Linked DNA regions of Arabidopsis thaliana. The protein of the gene in region 2 interacts with the protein of the main gene of each other region in a pairwise test. Each region holds a gene or a part of one and is shown on either strand. Other genes may lie near its edges. The genes, in order: CKS2 and AT4G14310.

Region 1 (4,076 bases), on a different chromosome or scaffold from region 2:
GAAGAAGAAGCGAGATTGAAGAGCTTTACCTGTATTCGAAAGTGTCATCGAAGTATTTCTCGGAGTATTGGATCTGACCCATTTCTCTCTCAGAGATGTGAAGCCTTAATCAGGAAATGGAGGAGAAGGGAAAGAGGAATTGAAGAATCTGTAATCTGATCGTTTGAAATTTGGGGAAGATAGTGAAAGGAGAATAAAGTGGTTTGGGGTAGATATGTAATTATGAGGAAATAGAGGGGTGTTTGATTAACTTTTTAGAGTTTTGAAATTCTTTAGAAGACGCCGATTGGGTATGAATGATTATAAACCGGTTAGTTACCAAAATGAATTGAAATTGGGTGGATTGGTTTGGTTCTAATTAAATTCAACAACTTGTTTGGTTGCTTTGACCAAAGACCTTGTTATTTACCATCAAACTACGAACTCGTTCATTTTCTCGAAATTTCATTTAATTCCAACAATCAGTGCTTCACACTAGGTATAAGATACATATCTAGTTAATTTATAAAAATGGCTCTGAATCTCCTGGTTTCAATACACTAATAGTAGTACAGTAAGGAATATATGGTGTTTGGTGAATGTGGTGATTGAGACACAATATGAGTTTCTTTGAATCAGTATCGCCATGAGAATCGTGATTAGACCTTCAGATTGGCATTGTAATGATACCTTGTTTGTTGTTCATAGTTATGGACTTAAGACTCTAAGAGGAGCAATAAAAAGAGGTTGAAATGATGAAACAAGCACATAAGCATGAGAAATAACGTCTTCATTCTTAACCATGAAGAAGTTCAAACGTGGATCCAACCAAAGTCTAGCAAAGGACCAGACTTAACATAACATTAAAAGTTGTTCTACCAAACTCACATGATTCTCCACTGAAGAGAATTCATGAACACAATAAAAAAAACTACAGGAACAAAACATCAGAGTAGTATTTTAAAACCTCGTTTACGAGAGACATAAACAGAGATTAGGGAGAATTTTGCATAATTCTTCTACTTAGCAATCTGAGCTTGGTGCTCCTGCTGGTAGTTAAGAGGCCTCCTAAAGAGCATGATATGTGGCTCAGGACGATGAATCGCGTAATGAACCCATCCACGACTTTGCTGCACTCCGATGGCTCTCCATTCACTCTACAAAACCAGATTGTAAAACAAGAAAACTGTTAACTTCAAAATCAGAAAACTGAGAATTGACTGATAACACAAAAAAATATCTAAACTATCTTCGTCACTGCTGACAATTACACAACCTAAAGTTAATAAACAAGTTAATGAGAAGCAAAACTTCAAATTCCTAAGCAGAAACTTCAATTTCTTCGACTCTCAAAAGTCCAAACTTCAATTTCCTAACTTAATTTCTTAAACATGTAAATCTCTTAGCCTACGATGATTCAAGGGTTATACAGCGAATAGAGGAAAGCCCTAATTTTTAACTTACTTCCGAAAGAATACGATTCTTAGGTAAAAGCTTAGCAACTTCCGGAGGAAGTACAACGTGCCTGAGAGAAAAATAAAAGACCACGCGATTAGACTGAAACTAAAACGTGAGAGAGAACTCCATTAAAATGGGAGGAGAATCAAACTGAGAATCACCTGTATTCGAAAGTATCATCGAAATATTTGTCGGAGTACTGGATCTGACCCATCTTCTTAAATCACCCAACAAACGTCTATTAAATTTACTAAACAAAAGAAATGGAGCAATCTGTCAGTAATCTAAACCCTAAACAACGACGAGAACCTAAACAAATCAGAAATCGAACCCTAATCTAAGAATCGGGAAGTAAAGCAGACCTTGAGAAGAAGTGCGATCGGAAACGAAATGAATTTTAGGGGAGAAGAGGGAAAGCGAAAGGGAATTAAAAAGGCATTGTGGTAAGGAAGTAATTATGGGGATTTATAGGGGCATTTTCTCAACGGGTGTTTTGATTTTTTTGAGTTTCAAATTTCTTAGAGGCGCTCCTTCCCGCTTAGTGGAGCCCTAAAATTTTGATTACGGTTCGACGTTAATCAAACCGGTATAATTCCCGGTTCAGAGATTCATTTCTAAAGGCATCAGTATCTTCCTCTTATAGTCAGAGTTCAGGTGTCCGTATACTCGCCGGCTTTGTATACCTCCTTTGTTCGATATATAAACATCAGTGACAAAAAGAAAAAGATTTCAGAAAATTGAATTTCATTTTTGGGCACTAATATACAAAAAAAAATTAGCTTCGGATAATCATGACTAAACCCCCAAAAGAATGCCCTAATGTTTTAGACTTCCCCATTTACTTCCCCCTCTTATCTCTACTTCGTCTCTACCAAAACCAAATTCTCTAACCCTTTTGTGTATCTTTCTCTCTAGTTTCCATTACAAAGAAAGACACGTTAGGGGAGAAACCTGTACAAGAACGTGGCTACTACCCGAAATTAGATTAAAAAAGAGCATCCAATCGTTTCACCAACTTTCCAAAAACCAAAAAACAAAGACAACCTTGAGCTTACTCCTCCTTACTGGCCTCAGTTTTACTCACGGCACTCGGTGCTGGTACACTCTTTCTCAACATAGATGTTCCATGAAAGATCATCACCGAGTAGTCTTTTCTGTATTCTTTCACCTAATAACACACAAACACAGTGTGTATCAGAGATGGGATTCATTGGGAGTGTATATAAGTTTATATGGATATAGATATATACCTCTTCGTCGGTCATCTTGGTGAAACCAAATTTGTCAGTCCATATGGATTTGGCTTCATCTGCTGCTGGTAGCACGATATGTTTCACGTTTAGGAACCCAAGTAGCCTCTCGATGCAAGCAAACAGGCATTGGAAGTAACCCTACAATAGGAAAAAAAAAACATAAATTCTCAAACTCTCAAAAAAGAGCAATCACAAGCATTTCATCCCCCAGGTACAATTTGACACAAAAAAATTCCTTCTGCAATTAAGATGCTACACATTGTTCTGCTCTTAAGCTATTCGACACAAAAACATGTCTGCTTAGATGTATCACTGTATAATTTATCAATGTATGGGATTGACAGTAAGAGTGAGTCGTTTATTAACCATTCTATAGGAGTAGGCACCTGTTGTAAAGAAAAAACATCCAAGGTTCCAGATAAAAACTGTTTACCTGCCCTTGACAATCTTTGCTGGTAGCAACCAGAGGGAGTTCTGCAAGTTCTGACCCAAAAACCCTAAAGATTCCCACTGAAACAATCACTTCGCTGCACAAGAAACAAAAAAAGGACAACATTAAAAAGATGAAACATGCGTCACAGAAAATAAATTAGAGTGAAAAAGAAGAAGAATCTTACTCCACAGCCAACATAGTGCAGTACATGCCACTAAAATCTTGGGCCTTTGTTTGCCTTCTGTTCCACACACAAAAGTTGTTGATCAGCACAAAGAATAATCCACTCGACTGATTGAAGATACAAAATTGCTTACCCATACACCATGGCTGGTATCAAATCTCCCTTGGTCCCAGATTCACTGATAGGATCAAACCGTTCCTATAGCATACAATTGTTAGAAGGGACAAACAGCAGAAAGGACAGAAGAGTTTGAAATGTGGTCTTGACTTACATGAAGAATGGAAAGTGCCTTTGCAAGCAATATTTTGGTATCATCTGAAGAGGTCAACTTCCCACTAAGGACCCTCCATCTTATGTCAGGAGTGGTTTTATAATCTGGACAGTTTTCTTCATTAGGTTGTTCCTTCTTCCTTAAAAAATTCAGAATATTGTTACTTAGCTTCTCTTCTCCGCGAACTATCAGATTGCCCAATGTAGTGTTGATCTCTTCGCACCCGAGGGAACAGAACCATTTTTCTTCAGGTAGCTCCTGTTAAGACATAACAAGAATGAGAAAGATAGATACTGAGTTTTCACCCGAGGGAATGAAAGAGCTAAATAGGCAAAGAACCTTGAGATCAGCAATGTCACGTTCTTTCAAACAGCCAACATGGAATTCCTTTTCACACTGAGGAGAAAACAACAAAACCAAAAATGGTGAAGACCAGAAGCAGATTTAAGAGGCAAGGAACCCTATACAGCAATGAACAACAAAGTACCTGATCACAGA
Region 2 (6,061 bases):
AAGTTGTTGTAATCTAGAATCCAATTCCAAGGATGGATACAAACAAACTGGGAAAACAAGTGTTTGACTTGTTATATAACCAAGAATTCAAAAAGCATTCAAGAAGATGATAGTTTGGTTCAAAAGACAAAACCTTTTTGGCAACAGTTGAATTACCCTTCTTCCCTTTGAAAATGGTATCCATCAATTTGTGGAAAAAGTGACCAAATGGTCCTCCATAAGCAAAGCCATACAACTGCACAAAAGAGATCATCACATTTTCTCCAGACTAAAAAAGTATATAACTGCAAACATATATAAGACAAATAAGGAACGAACCATAAGGAGAAGCAATCTCCGGAACTGAATCCGTTTAACTCCAGAGATCTTCTGAGCTATAGCATCACTACATCCAGCTAAAACCCCTGCAGTGATCGCCTGAAAAAATATCATTACGACGACATGATCATCGCAAGATTCTCATAAACTGAGACTTCTTTGATCGAAATTAACAAACCTTGGTTCGTAAAGGATGAGCTTGAAGCTGAATCAGATACTTTCGCCATGCGTCTTTAGCAAGATCCGACATGGCTCGAAGATTCAATAGCAAGATTTTGACAAGACTAAAAGATCCAGATTTGATTTAAGAGAAGTTAACCATGTTTCGTATTAACAAAAAAAAATTAGATTATGGGTAACGAATGGATTTACTTTAGGCCAAATTAAGAAATATCTAAATTAGGAATATATTCGTTAGTCAAATATGCTTTGTCATATCTTTTTCTTCGGACCATTTTATAACACAGAAATCATCTGAGTAATGAGAAAGAAACCTAGGAAATTGATCAAAACACCACATGTATGTACAGAGTAAAGTCAAATAAGCAAATAGCACGAAAGAGAATCCAGAAAAGCATCATAGTTGGTAACAAAGAGCAATAGTATGAACACAACACAAGAGAAAGCAGCACAAGCTGTGCTAACACTTGCTAAATATAGGTCTCGTGGGATCACCATCTTTAGATTGATTTACTCACCTGAAAGAAACGAAATTCAACTATAAACATCAGCCACAAGTTTGTATTCAAGACTTCTTTCTTCAACAATTTTATTGCTTTACCTATAAGAGGTATCTCCATAAAGCCGGGCGGTCTCTTGAGATGAGGAGTACACGACAACCTGAGTAGTCAAATGACGGGCAATACATATCGTTTGGACCGATGATCTCTCTTACTGTTTGAACGCTTCCATAGTCACTTGTCAATGGCTGTTGTTGCAAGGTCTCTTCTTTTGCAGTATCAAACACAAATAGTCCCATACCAGAAGTAGCCATGACAAAATTTGAATTTCCCCAGACTTGGGTTATTGCAGAGTGGTGCGGGTGAGAGTTTGAGTCAGGCAGACTGTATGTGCTCACGAGACGCTGTTTCCTTATGGAGAATTGCTGCACCTGAGAAGAAGAAGCCATTTGTTTCTTGACAGTTGATTTCTGATTGGTACATCCTAGAAACACTGAATCTCCTCGAGATGATACACATTGAGCATTAACACCGAGTTTGGGGATTTTAGCACCAATGCCAGATGGGTTACGAAAATCTAAGATGTTGATTGAATCACTAGTGCAGAATACTCCGTCGTTTCCTTCAGCATCCAAGGAACTTACTCTGCATTCCATGTGAAGAGAACATTATAAGTGAATGAGAGAGAAAGAGTAAAGTATCCACATTGTTTAGCTTCCACATATTCAATTTATGAGGCCAAGCGAGGAGATAGTAAGAGGCTAAATGGTAAAATAAAGTTTTTTTACCTTTGACGAACACCACCCCCAACTTCAGCATCTGTGTTGTTGATATGAAAAGCTGAGATTTTTCGCCCTGAAGAGGAAATGGTGTGCTGTGCTTCAGGGTGAAGGGAATTGACATCCCAAACAGAAATTGCTTCAGTTTCGGCTATGACAAGTTTTCCTCGATTCCTCCATTGTAAAGGGCTCGAATAATCTAAAGCTGACACAGGATTTTGCACACCCCATTTCATGATTTGTTCCCCATCTCGTATGTCAAAAACCTTTACTATACTTTGAAAACTACCAGTTGATGCTATAAGAGGACCACACGGTCTGTACCACCATTGTTGAGTTTCTGGTACCACTGCACAAGCCGGAGTGTTCCTACCATGTGATGTGTTATTGGGTAGAGGAGCAAGAGCTGTTCTTGAAACTCTTGAAGATCCGTCCTCGATGTGGAGTGCCTTAATGTCTTTCGTGTAGAAATCCCATGAACAAAAGCCAGATTCTAAGGTATTCCCAGCAGAAGCAGCTACGACATATCTGCCTGAGCAGCCATCAGCACCCGGTGCACGAACTACCCAGCAATCTCTCCAAGTGTTTGGTGAGATACCATCTGGAGGACTGTACACAGATTTCACCTGAAAAAGAATTTCAAGTCTTTGATGTAAAAGATAATAATGCATACATAGTGAACAAAGCCAAAAACTCCAGTCACTTCATACAAACGCACCCAGATTGACAGAGAATTACATTCATTAACCATAAACTGTGCATACTATTAGCCCAAAATAAAGCTTTAGTCACTAAGTATTTCTGCAAGTATAAGATGAAAAATCCAATCTAAATCAAAATAAGATATGCTAAACATCTTCTCGTAACTTGAGATATGTGTATGTTGTGGTCAATATGAGATTTTAAAATCAATGTTCCACACTAGCACAGTTCAAGTTAGATCAAACATGATACTAAAAACTTTTCATAAATGAAGAAACGCATAGTACCTCAGAGTTAGCGACATCGTAATAGGAACACGAGCCATCATCATGAGCAAGTATAACTGCCTCGCCCTCTGATACAAACCATCCTCCTGTAGAAGTTTTGGACCCAATGTCATTGAGTTGATACATGCATCCATCATCTATTTCTTCCAGCTCCATCTCCTCTCTATTCTCTTCATCATCAATTTCCTCGAGGGCTTCGTTTGCTCTAAGAATTTCAGTTAAGTTGGAAGTCAGATTGACGTCTTTTGAGACATCATTTTCCTTTGACGGCTCCTCTGTATCCATCTCCTGCACTTCCAGATTTTCCAGCGCATTCTGATCACTCATAAATGTGACTTTTTCCTTGTCAAGTGAGGCCAAGAACTCTAGAGCTATCGCATTCTCCTCAACAGGAGCTGACGGCTTTTCTTCAGCATTCACTGCCTTGTTGGACTCAACAGAATCATGGCCTTTTGAGACATGCGAAGATGTTTTGGACTGAGTTCTGCTCCTTAGCAACCTCTGGTGAGGCAAGAGTCTGTCTTCCAGCTCTTCCTTATTTAATCCTTTCACAGAACTTTTTGCTTTCGTAGTTTTGTTTTTCTCTGGACCATCAATAACATGACTCATAGACTTTTCAATCCCTGTGATTTTCTGATGTATATCAGAGATTATAACCTTAGACGAATCCGGATTGTTCAAATCCAGCATATCCTTTGTCTTCTTGATATCTGATGCAATTTTCTTAACCTTTCCTTCAAGAAAAGCAAGCTTCTCGTGCAGCTTGCTTGGATACTTAGCAGTACTATTGCTGCTTCCTTCATTTCCTCTTATATCCTTTGACATCTCCATTGCCTTCCCAACATTATCCAAAGACTTCCTTCTTAAAGCTACACTAGTCCCTTTCCCAGTCTTTTCAATCTTACTATCAGATTTCAAAGCAACAGTAGATTTCTCTCCAGAACCAACTAAAGCATGTGCCTTTGGATCAGAAATTGAATTTCTCGCCACACTAGAACCTTCAAATTTGCTTGAATTCACTGGACAACTACTTCCTTCATCTGCTTTCTCACAAACACTACTTGGCTCAACCTTAATTTCACTCGTACCCTGTTTGAATCCAGAACTCTTGAGCCCAGACTTCTTATCCTGACCCGATTCACCCTTTTCCCCAATAACCCTAGATTCATTTCTCTTTCTCAAATCCGAGAAAACCCTAATCAAATCAGATGGACTAGAACTCCTACCTCGCAAACCAGATGACGTGGATCGCGTAACCCGACCCTCGCCACTCACGGCGGACTTATCAATGCGCGGTACAGGCCGGAGCACTGGCTTCTGAGTCGATCCAAATGAGCGGTGACTAAGCTTCGGATTCGGATTCTCTTTGCTGGATAATGATTTCTGAAGAGCGGGATTTGAATTTTTGCTTGAGATCGGAAGTGGAGTTACAGACCTCAATGGTTTTTTACCAGATGATGGATTTTCACCGGCGCCGGTGTTTATATCTTTTAGCCGGCGGCGATTCGTTGAAGCTGACATCTGCAAAATCGTAGGGTAAAATGATTTAGGATTTTGAAAAAAAAGTTTGGGGGAAAAATAAAAGCTTTTGATTTTTGAAGAAAAAGCACAAAACGATAAATGGAGGATATCACTACCGCAACTCCACAAGCCGACAAATTTATTAGAGTTTCAATTTCAAAATATTTGGGCGGGATTTCCAAAAAAAAAACTCAAAATTTTTGGAGATCGCGAATGTTCAAAAAGTCGATTGATTAACGAAACGCAGCGTTTAGGTAAATTTATTAAACACGTGATAGCAACAAATGCAGAACGCGACATTTTGAAACACGTGGCAGTGTAGAAATAGCGACACGAATTTTGTTAACTAAAACGCTGCGTTTTTAATAAAATATACAGTAACAGTTGAATAGTTGATTGCGACACGAAACGATGCGTTTAGGGTATGCTGTTTTTAAAACACGTGGCAGCAACAAATAAACCGAAACGCAGCGTTTTGAGGTGGTTATTAACGTGAAAGGTCTCGCCAGTTTTTGTGTTTCATGCATTAGTACACGAAACGTTGTCTTCTACTTCTCGGGGAAACGACACAACCGTAGATTTGATGTCTGAATCTGTGTATATATAACTTCTCCAATTAGAGACACTAACACAGAATTGATCACTACTCCTATCGAAAAGTAGACGAAAATGGCGAATGAGTATGGATTCGGGATGGGTTCGGTTTTGGCGATTGTTGTCGTTGCACTAATGTTACTGTTTGTTCCGTTGATGATGGGACCGGTGACTGCACCATCTCTTCCAATGATCTTGATGTTTCCGGTCGTATTGCTCTTTGTGTTTCTCTATCTCCATTTTACTTCCAAGTGATCAAACATCAAATCTCTTTCTATTATTATCGTGTAATATGCAGTACGTATTTATTTCGATAGTATTGCTCTTACGTTTTTGGTTATACATTTATAAAAACAAAAATTGTATTTGTTCTATTATATACAATATATCAATTGACTAACGCATGCGCAGTTGGTTTGGATCTCTATTGATTTGCAAGTAAATTTTTTGGATTTATCTTTCTTTCTCACTTCGTTTCTTACATTATTAGAGAATTTGACTTACATCGCGATGTATGTTTTACAAGCAAGTAGAATCGATGCCACTTTCCTTAGATATTAGCGTAGTAGACAATGTCAATGATCGAGAAATATACACAAAAGTACCTAACTTTTGTCAGCATGAACAGATTTGAATGATATTACGTAATTGTAGAGAAGAAACTTACCTTAAAATTAACACCTCTAAAAGGTAAGAATGTGTTAGTAGAAAATGGCTATTCATATTGTAAAATTAAAAGGCCGTATAATTAGTACAGAGGAATTCGACTTGGAAACAGAAAATTAGAGATTAAATAAAACACGAATTTTAAATAACGGAAATAAAACTTTAGTGTAAATTATCTATACCCATAATATATATAGTACCAGAATCTAAGTATAATAAAGTAAAAAAAGAAAAACTGAAGTAGCATCCTTGACCGTCACCACATCTTCCGCCGCTGGCTGCCTGGCTCCACCACCACCACTACTACATTCACCGGTTCATTGTCAATACCACCACCAACAGGTCCTTCTCCTCTATCACCACAGCAGCCAGGACCACCACAGCAGACACAAGAGAATATCATCTCATCTACCATTTTGCCCGCACAGCTCTCAATTAAAACTAACACAAAGGCCAAAACACATAGGACTATCATGGTAATATAAAAAGAGTTGTTCATGTTCTCTTTTGTGCA

Evidence for each region.
Region 1: the proteins of AT4G14310 (region 2) and CKS2 interact in a protein complementation assay, tested with the Arabidopsis thaliana proteins (one study listed by BioGRID).

What each region holds. Positions count from the first base shown.
Region 1 is NC_003071.7:11,911,462-11,915,537, forward strand, and holds CKS2 (CDK-subunit 2), read right to left. Parts: upstream 1,965-4,076; 5' UTR 1,800-1,964; intron 1,688-1,799; 5' UTR 1,652-1,687; coding exon 1,599-1,651; intron 1,505-1,598; coding exon 1,444-1,504; intron 1,137-1,443; coding exon 999-1,136; 3' UTR 690-998; downstream 1-689. Other genes in the region: CKS1 (cyclin-dependent kinase-subunit 1), read right to left, coding at 30-82; AT2G27980 (Acyl-CoA N-acyltransferase with RING/FYVE/PHD-type zinc finger domain-containing protein), read right to left, coding at 2,489-2,605, 2,688-2,828, 3,124-3,217, 3,308-3,364, 3,441-3,505, 3,579-3,836, 3,918-3,974, 4,066-4,076. UniProt on the Arabidopsis thaliana protein: Binds to the catalytic subunit of the cyclin dependent kinases and is essential for their biological function.
Region 2 is NC_003075.7:8,236,038-8,242,098, forward strand, and holds AT4G14310 (Transducin/WD40 repeat-like superfamily protein), read right to left. Parts: upstream 4,288-6,061; coding exon 2,767-4,287; intron 2,532-2,766; coding exon 2,451-2,531; intron 2,404-2,450; coding exon 1,787-2,403; intron 1,644-1,786; coding exon 1,100-1,643; intron 1,017-1,099; 3' UTR 722-1,016; downstream 1-721. Other genes in the region: AT4G14305 (Peroxisomal membrane 22 kDa (Mpv17/PMP22) family protein), read right to left, coding at 134-235, 319-417, 497-568; AT4G14315 (uncharacterized protein), read left to right, coding at 4,957-5,136; AT4G14320 (Zinc-binding ribosomal protein family protein), read right to left, coding at 5,804-5,988. UniProt on the Arabidopsis thaliana protein: Might be involved in division plane determination.